2 linked regions of the Styela clava genome follow. The protein of the gene in region 1 binds, or shares a complex with, the protein of each later gene. Links are inferred from orthologs where the notes say so. Each region holds a gene or a part of one and is shown in the gene's direction. Other genes may lie near its edges.

Region 1 (7,409 bases):
GGCTCCTAATACAGTAATAAGTTTTTGCTTGTTTTTATCAATTCTTTTATCGCCTTTTATGCCTATTATGGTTTCAAAATATACTTATACTTACGCTTATACTAATCATAATGTAACGCACGCCAAACGACAGCAAAACTAATAGGCCGCGAGCCGAGGCCCTGAAAACCGCCTAGAAAGTGAGTTTCGTAGCGCACATCAGGTAACTACCTGAAAATGATTTTAAAATGTTCCTTAAAAATTTAGTAACAAATATTGCCTTGTTCCCACTTCCAAAAGTTGCACGTTTTACGGAAAAGATGCTTTTACTACAAGAAATATGTGTCACGATCTGTCCTATATTCTCTACATTTTCGGCACTGAACAATGACTTCTGCATGACGTAACAATTGAATTAAACCAGCTGTTAGCGAGCGGATGAATATTAGTTATTTCTGCTCGACCTTGCGCTGAGTTGGGCAGGCTTTCCATAGCCCTGTTTAGTTATTATCAGTTAAGTTATGCTAAGACGTTGTTGAAAAATGTATAAGTAAATTATTAAACACTTGTAGATCCTTACCACGGATATGGGCCGTGAGACGAAACCATGAAAACGCCCAGAAAATGAGTTTCGTAGCGCACATCTGGTAACTAAATAAATTCTTCAGTTTTGTGTGAAAACGAACATAATGAACGCATTACAGCTTGTTCCACAATCCTGGTGCGAAATTGAATATAAGAGGTTCCCGGAAATTCAATAACCATAAGTTTACAACGCATACATAAGAACTATACAATTCGAGAGCCCTACAGCACACTAACACAAATGTATTCCTGTAATGTTTTGCCTGACCAAAATCGGACTTCCTCAGTCAATCATAATTTATTAGGTAGATTACGAAAAATATGGCATACATGTAACCAACAACAAAAAATACTTTAATTGTGTGACAGGAGTCGGGAGTGACCTCGAAAGCAGCGACACCAACAACGCTGATTCACATTTGAGAATAAATTTTATGTAATAACCACAAGCAGTTTACAACAAGAACAGCATAAAAAGCTACATCCATTTTATAGAAGCTATCAAGTATCAAACGTATTTATTTTTAAGCAATGAAGTCACAAATTAACATCGTGAGCACGAAAACACAAATAAATCAGTTATTTCTCACTTAGAAATTTACCGCAAAAGTCAAGAAAATTAAATGAATGTACAATATGTACATAACATAGTGAACAGAAATATTACAATTTACAATTAATCTTTTTTTAGTTTATGTGGTTATGTATTTGAACAAAGGCAATAATATTTCTAGAAACAGGACTACGACACTAACAAATGTCCGAAAAAAACAACAAATGTATGATACTTATTAAATCAACTGTAATATCTAATTCACTTTCTTCTGAATTGTTTTCGAAATCCACAATCTCAGAAATCGACGTTTCCTCTATAGGTGTACTGTGATTTCTGCAGTCAATACAAAAACAAAAATCTGTGCAATTTAAGTTGATTTTGGCACACTTTCATAAATTATTTTGACTATTTTTCTTTGCAGTTTGCCAACTCAAGAACTGATTTGAGGGCCACATGCTTCTTCAGTGAATCATTGTTGGGTGGAGAGTATAATCCTTATGTTTGACAGTGTTAAATAGACGTGCCCTGGTATCATTTACATTCTTCATATCCTCTTTAAATTCCTCAGCTTTATTTATTAATACCTCGTTAACCTCAAAAGATCTTCATAGTCGAGGGAAAAAAATGAATTGAAAATCTCAATGAAGTCTCCAACTTGAATTTGATGGGCAGTTCCAATTGCAGAAAAGTGCTTAAGTATTTCAATATAAATAGCCCATCTAAGCCGTTTGCAACTAATATGATTCTCATATACCTTTAAGCTTCAAGACTTCTTGTTTAATCCATTTTATAGCACTGATAGCAACAGGGATCAGAGCCTGCGTTAGGTCGGATTGGTGGAACATTGCCGTTTTCTTTTGTAGTACAGTATCTAAAATAAGGAAGAAAATAATATTTGGAGCAGCATGATTTTAAAAATACCCCTAAATACTAACTAATACCTTGAATACATAATGCATTTTATCTGATGTACTAAATGAGCGTATATATGCTCATTGCATGTTCTACAGTCCAGCAGTGTTTGCATACCATTACTAGACTATATCTACACTAAATTTTGATATATCACAGTCTGAAATGTCCTATGACAGTATGAGTATGGACTATAGACTATATTTTGAAACATCAACTGTTTGTCTACAACTTCATTTCTCACCTCTCAATCATTTCCAATGCTACCTTTCTTTCCACTCCGGCATAACTTATCATTGCTTCCCAGGTTCTTGTCGACTCTATGAATTTAGATTTAGACCAACCGACATTAGTAAAATTGATTGATTTCTTCTCTTTCACACAACCGTGCATTACAGAAACAGCCATTCATTTCTATTTCCAAATATGCTGTGGCCTATATAGTAGTATAAGTCTGCTGAATAGTCAAGAAGAGTCATTAAATTAATCATAAACATTTCATGCAAGCCAGAAAATATCGTTGTTTGTGACATATTATTCTAGGTCTAGCCTTCCTTGGAGTTACCGCACCGTACCTATTTAACAACGTCTTATGAGCTAGTGCTCAACTAAAATTGCTATTTATGGCAAGGATATACAAGTGTTTAATATCTTACCTATACTTTTCAACACCTCCTTAGAATAACTGGACTAATATTACCGGTAACTGAAAAAAACTATGGAAAGACTACTCAACGCAAAAGCGAGCAGTTGAGTACATCTGATATTCATCCGACCACTGGGGATCCACCTACAGCTGACTAACTTGACTGTTACGTCGTGCAGAAGTCTGCGTTCATTGGCCCATGATACCGGAAAAGCAGAGAAAATAGGACAGATGGTAACACATATTTAGTGTAGTAAAAGCGTCTTTTCTGTAAAACGTGCAACTTTTGGAAGTGGGAACAAGGCAATATTTGTTACTAAATTTCTAAGGAACATTTTAAAATCATTTTCAGGTAGTTACCTGATGTGCGCTACGAAACTGAAAGATAAATGGCCTCGGCTCGCGGCCTATAAAGGCAGAATGCTCTTTCAGACTACAGTAGTCACGTGCCGTCATGACTTAAAACCGTACCTTGGAGGCGCAGCGGTAGTTTGTACCGTAACGCACTATCGGCAGCAGTCGTGAATTTTATTTCACAAAATCGGCATAAGGCGGTACCGGTACCGATTTATAGGTGCCAGGAAAGCAAGCAAATAGCAGAAAAAAACAAATTCCAATTTCATGCTTTTTTACATTAAAAATAGAAGGGCAGGCCAAAACCGACGTTCAGACGTCAGGACGTTACGCAATTCAGCAATTCTTAATAGCTTTATCTGAATTCGAATTATCTGAATTCTTTTGATATGTAGTTGGAAAATTACGGTACCGTGGTACCTGGTCATCTATTCAAATCAATTCTGTCTGGCTGTGGAGGGGATATATATAACTCTCAGGGTCGAGATATATTTAGGTCTTTCTGTCTATCCAAGTTAATCGTAACTCCTTGAACACTAAACAAAATCATAAGGTGAAAGACTGTCTGATGCAGAATGAAATTCTTGCCTGGCAGCCTGGTGCCTCAATGTCCCACGCCCTAATAGGGTATACCGGTAGTTCTCCGTGCGTGACTGACTGACTTTTACTAAAAAAACTCTGGTGAATAGCCTATTTAGGCAAATATTTTCACATCACTTTTGTTTGGCGTTTTTAGCACTCACAGTGGGTACCTACTTCTTATTAGGACTCCAACTATGAACTCAAAGAAAATTTAATTTTTATCACAAAAATTTTAGCGTATGCAAGCTTCCCTCAATAGCCTTTGAAGAATGTGTAGTAAACATTTTTCTAAATTTCTGTCAAAAATTTGACTCCGACTCTAACTACGAAATCTAAGAAAACCAAATTTTGATAACCAAAACTCTGGCTCTGGTTCGCCATATGGTTAAGCTGTCTTATCGACTTTTAAGAAAGACAATTGTTTATTTCACCCGCTCGCACTGACAGTGCGGTGAGAGTAGAGCGATCGGCAACTTTCAGGAGTGATGCGTCGAACCACATTACAGAGTGTGGTTGGATACAGTCGGCGGGCCAGTCAAAATCTCGTCGCGGCCTGCAGGCCGTATGTTGCCCACCCCTGGTTTAGTACCACAAGTACTAATAAAAGTGTTAAGAAAGTGGGATCGAGATTGCATACCAAAGTGGCAACCCTATTTTTTTATTCCAGTATTCCACTGTTATCCACATAGTATAAATAATATTAATGCATCCTATCTACTGATCTATTATGGGTTGCCTCGAGAGTTGTTTAAAGAAAAATGAGGAGGAAGCGGATGAGCGAACATCGTTGCTAGGAAACGGGAATAGTACAATTGCGAACACAGCCCCAATCAATACACAAGTCATCGCAGAGGTAGTGACTTTTTGTTATTTTCATATTATACAATCTACACAAACTTCACCCCTCCGAGTGCTTATACCACAAAGATTAGTACGGAATTTACTGGGGTCCAGTCTCCCTATAACAGTACGGCACATTATACAAATCGGGTGACATTGTCCCGTTTCAGAGAAACCAATTTTACAGATGATCAGACACTCCTCCTTTGGGAGACGTCTGGACATTGTTGTCCTTCATTATCGATAATAATATGGACATTGTTGTCCTTCATTATCGATAATAATACAGTATAATGAAGTTGCGCAAAATATTACAAAAAAGCGCAATCTAGTAACGTCATCATTGAATTCATTAGGAAAAAATAATCAAATTTACCGAAGGAAAAAAAATTTCACCGTAGCATTCAAAAGTCTTTAGCAAAAAACAGCAATTTTGGTCATGTGACGGCCGGGATTAATCTAGATCAGGGCTACTCAACTATTTTTGCTAAAGGTCCGTATACAAAACTTGAAAATTCTTGGGGTCCGGTATGGCCAGAAAATGTATTTCATACTGCGCCTAACTATAATTCAGTGACTCTATCTTTTCGGTTAAAAAGTTAAGGAAACGCGAGTTGTGGAAAACTGAGTAACCGCAAAATATTCCACATCCTTTTACAGATCCAAAGTTAAATGGAGACAATCATCCAAAATAAAAATAAAATCAGACGCGGTCCGAATCGAATACTCGAAAGGTCAGAATTCGGACCGTGGTCCGCCAGTTGAGTAGCCCTGATCTAGATTATTATTTAGACAAGCATGGCGTGATATGAAGCATCAGACGTGGTCCCAGACGTCCCTCTTTTGTGAGACACATAGAGTGTTTGTTTTATTGAGCCAAATGGAGGGAAATTCTTGGAATTTGGATAGTGTGCTGTACTGTATAAAGTACACTGCACAGTTCACTCAAATATTTCGAACCTGGGTTTCACAGAGTTATAAAGTTTGTAGTTCGGTGTTAATAGGGCTAATGCTCTAAAACGTGATAATGGATTCGGTTTGAAGACTTGAAAGGTCCATTTTCGGAAAGCGGTCATACTATGACTCTGAAAAATTTAAAACTGTAACTCTAGCTCTGACTTCCTTCTTTTCATGTCGGTTAGAGATCTTTCCAGATCAGCATTTTTTTCCCAATTCATTCAACCCTGGGTGACATATTGGGCTTGGATTTGAACCCAATATTTCTAGCTAGGTTAAAATTAAGTTAAACTAACCCTGACGTGGGCGAACTACGGTTCATGGGCCAAATCCGGCCCTTTGGATAATTCAATCAAGCCCGCCTGATGCATTCACAGCCAAATCAAAATCAAATTTTGAGGTTCAACTAAAAATAACTCAAGGAATTTGTTGAGATTGTGATTAAATTAGGTTTTGGCACAAGGCTTATTGTTTTTCACTTTTGTTTTTGTAACACTATTAATATTGTTCATAAAATATGACTTTCACGGCCCCTTTGGCCTAGTCTAGATGGGCAAAAACCTTTCCCTAACCCTGCTCTAACCACTTGGCTAAATTTAACAGGAGCATACACCTATTGGAAGCGTATCACGAAGCCAACAGGACGAACAGACGTTACTTAATGGAATTCTAACAAAATATTCATCTGACGTTATTGACGTAACAGCGATAGATTCGAGGATTGACGCTGTGGAATATATGAACAGAGTGACGCTGTATAATAGAAAATTAACAGGTAATTGGAATAGAGATAGTGAGTACTTCCATACAAGAATAATAGCCATTATGTGTAAACAATGCTCAATGCTGTGGTCCCAAACTGTGTATCATTTAATAACATTAAATTTGTTTGAAGAAATCATTTGATTGACCTGTTTCAGACGCTCAATCGAGCACAATTTTGAATACATTTTTATTAATGTCATACGACCCCCAAAATTTACCCAATATACAATAATTATATACCATTGGAAAGGTATTTTAGAGTACTATACGCTAGATGTCACTGGAGGACCGTAAACTAAAACACATCTTTCAAGAGGTCTTTCGTAACGTCAAAAAATAATAAAAATATTTACACTCTCTCATTCTATCAGCTGTTGGACGTCTATCGCTATTGTAAAGCTGAAATGTGACTATACAGTTGACTGCACATTGGTTTTCTCTTTCATATGATTCTAAACGCTTTTCCATAGCGCGTGTTGTTCAAGCGTTTTGGAAATTTTCCGTTTGAGAAGTCACCACATCGAATCAGGCCAGGCTAAGCTTGATAGATCGATCGGTTGTTTGTTTGTGCTTTATCGCGTTGAAAGCTTTTGTGAGTCATAATAAAACATTTATTATGAATCATAAAAGCTTATAATCGTCAGACAAGGAGAATTTGCGAGATAAAACGCCTAACTTTTTTTCGGTGAGGCAGCTGCGATCAAACGACTCGATATTTTTATAACTTCCTGACGTTGTGAGATGTCCACTCTCCTATGTTATGTAGCATATAAAATGACCTTCAAAATAAGACCTTATCATACTAGCTTTTGTTATTGGTTTGCGCGCAACGCCAAGGTTTATGGAATCATTTTCTTGTTGTGCGACGTTTTTATATCGCAGCGGGAAGTACACGCGTGATATGTAAGCGAAATTTTATCACTTCTAAATGTCATATAAGGTTCATTCTCATATCGTTGTGTGGGGAATAAGATTTCCTTTCAAGCAAGACCATAACAAACATTCCAGACCTCATGGTATACACACAGCATTGCAAAACGTCTGAAATTTCGCGCATGCGTCAAACCGGGAGGATTAGGTTAATAAAATAAATATACCTATGCTAAGATTATTTTATCTGATGAAAAAGACAGTGTGAAACTTTTGGCATTTCTTGCATGACTGCTTCGAATAATGTTGATAGCGACAACAATGTCTGAATGACTCACTGTGGTACCAATACCATGTCAAACT
Region 2 (5,970 bases), on another chromosome or scaffold:
CACAGCTTGGGTTATGAGTGGATGGTTGTCCCTTCAACTCTAAACTGGTACAATTAGTATGTCTAGTGTGAAAACTAAACTATATCGGCATATTTTTAGTTTTAGAATATTGCAATTGGGCTCACGATCGTGGGAGTCTACATAATCAACTTTGCCTTTACAGCGAACAATGCCTAATTTCCCGAACAAGCAAGTAAAGTTGGAACTTGTGCATGCTAGAATGAGACAGACATTATCATTTACCAGTTTTAACTGTATTTGGTGGAGCGCCGACACACAAAATGCAATACCAATTGGGTTTCTTTGTGACTAACTAATAATCCTTCTATGCTGGTGGATCTGCATGCATATAAATGTGAGGGTACTGTAGCAGGAGTAAAGATAACTATCCTGTATGATTCAAGAGTCTTGCTGCACACTAACATGAATACAGCAAATATCTTGACTCGCACAACATGTACGCTTGCATACCTACTGAAACACAGGTTATTGCTATTTAGGTTGTTAAATTATCTCTCATTCCGGAGAAATCCTGCACTCTGGCCCCAGAAGCCATGGTCCTGTCCTGAGAAGGTTATTTAAGTCTAATTCCCACTCTGTGAAAAAGCCTAAGATTGCCATCACCAGCCCGATGTCATTAAACTCATGAAGGTACGACTTCATTTATTGAAATTTGGCCATAGCAGTTACAAAGCATCACTGCAAATCAATCATAGCTTACAGTAAAATAAAAGTAAGAAATAAGTTCAAATAACATATACATTCCTAGACGAAGTCTAATATTTTTTTCAAGTCTTCCAAAGTTAAGACAACTAGTCGCATAGATTCCTAGGAGAACTATTTTGCTAGACAATCAGACATCCGGAACAAAACATTCAAGTTTTGTTTCCACCAGTTGTGAGAGTTTGTCTATTTATTTTCCTGTTAGATTTCGCTGTTCAGATAGCCAGTTTTATGACGCAAACGAAGAAAATGGGCATTTTCAAAAACTAAACATGAACAACAATACGCCCTTCAAAAATTGAGCCAAATTGAATTGGAATCATTGCCAAGTTGTCAAAAGTCCATTTTTGGAAGGTAAACAGGAAATATGAAGAATATAACCAGAACATACTGTATAAACGACAGTTTTAATCTACATAAGACTTGAGAAAATTCCAAAATGCACATTGCTTGAAATATCAGACGTGAAACTCGTCATTGATGCGTTTAGGATTAAAAAAAACAGTAGAAAAGATCACTACGAAATGTATGTACACGATAAAAATATAATAGGGGGAAGGTCAATCTGACCTTTGACCCTGTATGAACTGAGAATGTTGCACAGTTGGAATTATGCAGTGTTAGTGATCTGTTCTTGCCTCTTGGCCCAAATTAAACCTTTTCACCAAAGCGAAGATTCAACTTTGATAGACAGCGGTTCTCAACTTATTTTATTTTGTTACCCAAATTCTGTGGCCCGCTCAGTAGGAAAAACAGCACCATTCATTCATTGCCACTACAATTAGAATTAAACTATAGTGACACAAATGAAATTAGCATCAAAATGTTAACGTGACCGCGCAGTGGGCCATGGCCCACTGGTTGAGACCCACTGCTGTAAGGACTATTTGACGGCCTTAGCTTTTATTGAAGTATTGTGAAATAGTAAGTCTGATTAGGCTTCATTACATATGTTTGTTGAATAATTGTCTCTTGTAAAAATTAAAAAGTCTCTCGAAGAAATCATCTCAACTTGTTTCTGTACGTTTTACATTAATAGGAATTCAATTTCATATGATAATTACCAAATATGCATATTTTAAAAAACGATACAAAAAATAATTTGCCAACAAAGTATGTACTTTAATTATAGTTTTGGTGCAAAAAAGTGAGCCGAAACACTACTTTTTACCCTTCTAGTCGACACTATTTTGATTTTTTAATGCAGATTAAGCGTGACAAATCAATACTTTTTTTGTACTTTTCAACTAAGGCCAGTTCAAATATAGTCCCCAGATTTAGTTCTTATAGCGTAGTAACACGTCTTCGCCTCACAGCCCAAAGTAATCCTGAAAAATCCACCGTTTTTTTATCATTTTACATTCAATTTTGGAGGTGAATTTAGGACACTTCCATTTCAGTCTCCTCTTCTTTATCAGCACCGTTTGTGAGACCGTTTTTATCTTTCCCGGGGATTTTTCCAGATTGAAGCATTCTTTTTAGATTTTCTATCTCTTCAAGAGATTTTGCTTTCATGATTGCCTCCTTGATAGCTTGCTTATCCTGAGCGGACGGCCCTGAAATGGAGGCAGTCGGCTGTGTTGGTTTTCCTGGAGTGAAAGTCCTATTCTTTGATTTTTGTTTGATGTCATTGAGCAGTGTTTCCCCTTTTTTCGAACCGAATAGTTTTTTGGCTTCTTCTCGTTCACGTTGTTTAACTTTACGAAAATCTAAAACTCGTACTTGTGGTAATTTGTGAATAACATAAAGTCTATATTCTTTGTGATGAGTAACAGGATTGCGCAATAGGCTCAAAAATTCCAAGTGTTTAAATCCTTCCAAATAATCAAGATCGGTCAATTCCGCAATTTCGTTGTTCGTGAAGTAAAGCTCCTTCAAGTTAGGGATACTCAGATGAATATCTTCTTCGATTCTACAAATACGGTTATTGTTAAACATCAAAGATCTTATCCGTTTGAGCAACGGAAAACCTTCAAACTTTCGTAAATCATTATCAGAAAAGTCTATTGTGTCAAACTGGTCCAAAGTCGCACCTAAATTTTCAATGACAGGAATTTTGTAGCCTCGTAAGATCAGTTCACGATCTCGTACAGCGTTTACATACTGGACTGCTTGCTCGATGATCTCTGGGGTTAATTTCACCATGATCAAGTTTCAACAGCTTTTTTAGAAAGAATAAAAACTTTATTCCAGTGTTATCATACCGATTATAGAGTCAGAGAATATCTGAAGATATAATAAAATGTTAGTAGATTGACAACAATACTTCCGTAGTGTGTGTACCAGGTTAGGCCATAATTTTATTCTGATTTTCCATATTTTAGTTCTATTACAAGTCTGGGTACCGTCTTTGTAAGCTGAGTGAATATACCCCCTGCCCATGGGCTTCAGTTCCCTTACACAACTTGACGTAAAGTATGCGAACAAAATTAGTTACCTTCATTTTGGCAAACATACTTCTGGAGCGCCACAAGAAGGACAGAGTATCAAACTCAACAAGTCAAGTCAAAATTGATATTGATTTCAAGACAAACAAGTAACTAATTAATCCCATACTCGACATGGAATGGTAATTGGACGATAGGCCGTGTGATTATGTAAATCCTATCCTATTAATAAGACAAATTACAGTAATAATGATAAAAAATTGCCTAGGTCATGCAAACTTCAAACATGTAATATAATATGTTTAATGATAAAACTGCTTTAAGCATACCCTATTGAACTTGGATTCCATTTCAGAAATATCATAAATAAAATTTAGGAGTTAAGCAAAATTAGTGATTCCCACAAAACTTCTTAGAAACTGAGGAATGAAATGAACATGGAGATCACTTATATCACATTTGAGATTTCTCTCGATAAAGCCACATCAGAAAATTGGACTCAATCCCATTTTGACCTCCTAAACTACATACCTCTGTAAATTGATATAAGCCAGGGGTCGGCAACCTACGGCCCCGATCCAGCCCACGACACTTCACTGAATTATAGTATCAAAACAGCTGTTTTGACGATTATATTCTTTACGTAACCGAATTTATTGTGAGACACGTGTAGACTAAATTATATTATAATCTTAAATTTTAAGTATAAAATTTACAATGACTAGTTTAATGATGCTAAGTGCAAAGGGTTCAATAGCGCCAAAAATATTCAAATGGAACTTTTTGAGATGCAATGCAATGAGGAAATAAATCTACATTATATTCGAGAGATGTATCACTGCTTGATTTTCATTATAAAAACTATCATCCGTTCGGTTTTCAACTTTCTAGAGATACCGTATGTGCGGTCCGCCAATGATGTGCAACCCTTAATCTTGGCCCAGGAGCGATAAAAGGTTGCCCACCCCTGATACAGTGATATAAGCCATATTACAGACTGACAGGCCTGTCTGGCTGGGGTATGAATAATACCAGAATACTACAGGGATGCCAACTCACAATAAATACAGAAAAAAAACTATAAAAAATACATAGTCTACATGTAGAGATATCGGTACCGTATAACAACTGCCCTAAAATTACCGTATGTTAAAACTCTTCGATTTAAGTGACAAATAAAACAAATCTGACTTTGAATTACCGGTACGGAAACGACCCTTAAATTATCGGAACGGGGTGGAATATCTTCCTAAACTTCAAACAAAACTATCTTCAACACAATAAAGCTATCCCATTATCTATGTAAGAGTTTAGTTGGGACCAGGGACTGGAATGGCAGAATGGTGACAAGGCAATTCACCCAAGTTAGAAACTACTCGTGAAATTCGTTTTATATTTTACCGGTTTGAATTTAACACGACGCAGGGAGACTAATGATTAAAATTACCCTTTTAATTATAATATGTTGAAAAAAATTAAAACATTGGAAAAACACGAAAATTAAAATTATATAGTTATTTGAAAGAAAATATAAAAGATATTTTCCCATATGATAAATAATAAATGTTAGAACAAGAGAGTAAAATATCACGCGCGGCCTTTACTGTTGCCATATTGCTATAGTTCTCATATTGTATTCCATAAAATTAAACAACTAATCGTATTTTTTAGCATTGTAAAATTTGGAACACACAAAATCTTCCAATTTAAAACTTTAAAGACCTCCACCCTAGAAAAGTTATATCAATTCAACTTAAAATTGAACATCCAATGAGGTGGCACAAATATCTACAAAAATCTGGCAACAGTATTTCATTTTTATCTTTAAGTTCACTTCGCTTATCAGAATAATGTCGGAAGATTTGAAGAAATTTCTCTATCGGCAACTTAGCAACGTTGACGGTCTGTACGCAATAGTTGTTTCAGATAGAGATGGAGTACCTGTTCTGAAAATTGCAAACGAAAAGGCACCTGATTACACCCTGCGGCCTGCATTTTTGGGGACTTTTACCTTGGCAACTGATCAAGCCAGTAAACTTGGCTACGGAAGAAATAAATACATTATATGCTCTTATAGTAACTACAATATTATAAAGTTCACTAGACAGCCTTTGACCGTCAGTTTTGTAACCAACAGTGAATGCAACATAGGACTAATTCTGGATCTTGGAGAGGAGTTACAAGAATATCTTGGTGGTGTGAAGCAGGCAGTTGCAGACTTATCAAAAACATTTTATAACGCAAACTGATTATTTTGAAATGCTTTGTTGAATTGTGATGATTTTTCCGATGTGTAAGCCAACGCATATTTGATTTTGTAATTTAATCAAGAAATTTATATATGTTATTTGTCATTTATTACTTTTATTGCTAGTATTCTCATGTTAAATTGATCATTTTCCGCATATCTCATAGGTTCAAATATGTCAGAGTCTGATGAGGGCGTATCGACCTCATTATTAGGTAATAGAGCTACATCGCCACCTGTTGCCCAGCGATCTTCAAAATCTTTCGTCTCTCAAGTGAAGAACACGCTTTTCTCGTTCATTAAGAAAGCAAAGGGAGAAGCAGATACTGTATCACAAAAGCAGAGAGGATTGGAATCCTTCACTGAGAGAGTTGCCACATTTACTGTATCAAAATGGATGGCAAAACCTCTTGCATTGAGTCCTCCCCTATTTGCTCAATATGGTTGGCAATGTATCGGTGTAGACACTGTTAAATGTTGTTCATGTGCCGCTGTTATGTGTGTCCGTCTTCCATGGCCTGATGCTGATAATTATCGTCAGCAGTGCTTTGATTACCGACAGAGAGTTATAACATCTCACATGAAAATATGTTCATGGCCGAGTTACCCATG

The links.
Region 2: ragulator complex protein LAMTOR1-like (region 1) and ragulator complex protein LAMTOR3-A-like share a complex: the UniProt entries of both Homo sapiens proteins name them as parts of the ragulator complex. The link is inferred for Styela clava from reciprocal best matches to the Homo sapiens genes LAMTOR1 and LAMTOR3.

Annotation. Positions count from the first base shown.
Region 1 is NC_135255.1:23,608,639-23,616,047, forward strand, and holds the start of ragulator complex protein LAMTOR1-like, read left to right. Parts: upstream 1-4,262; 5' UTR 4,263-4,341; coding exon 4,342-4,467; intron 4,468-6,014; coding exon 6,015-6,186; intron 6,187-7,409. UniProt on the Homo sapiens protein: Key component of the Ragulator complex, a multiprotein complex involved in amino acid sensing and activation of mTORC1, a signaling complex promoting cell growth in response to growth factors, energy levels, and amino acids.
Region 2 is NC_135254.1:5,250,902-5,256,871, reverse strand, and holds ragulator complex protein LAMTOR3-A-like, read left to right. Parts: upstream 1-4,960; coding exon 4,961-5,359; downstream 5,360-5,970. Other genes in the region: U2 small nuclear ribonucleoprotein A'-like, read right to left, coding at 2,104-2,868; uncharacterized protein LOC120344131, read left to right, coding at 5,534-5,970. UniProt on the Homo sapiens protein: As part of the Ragulator complex it is involved in amino acid sensing and activation of mTORC1, a signaling complex promoting cell growth in response to growth factors, energy levels, and amino acids.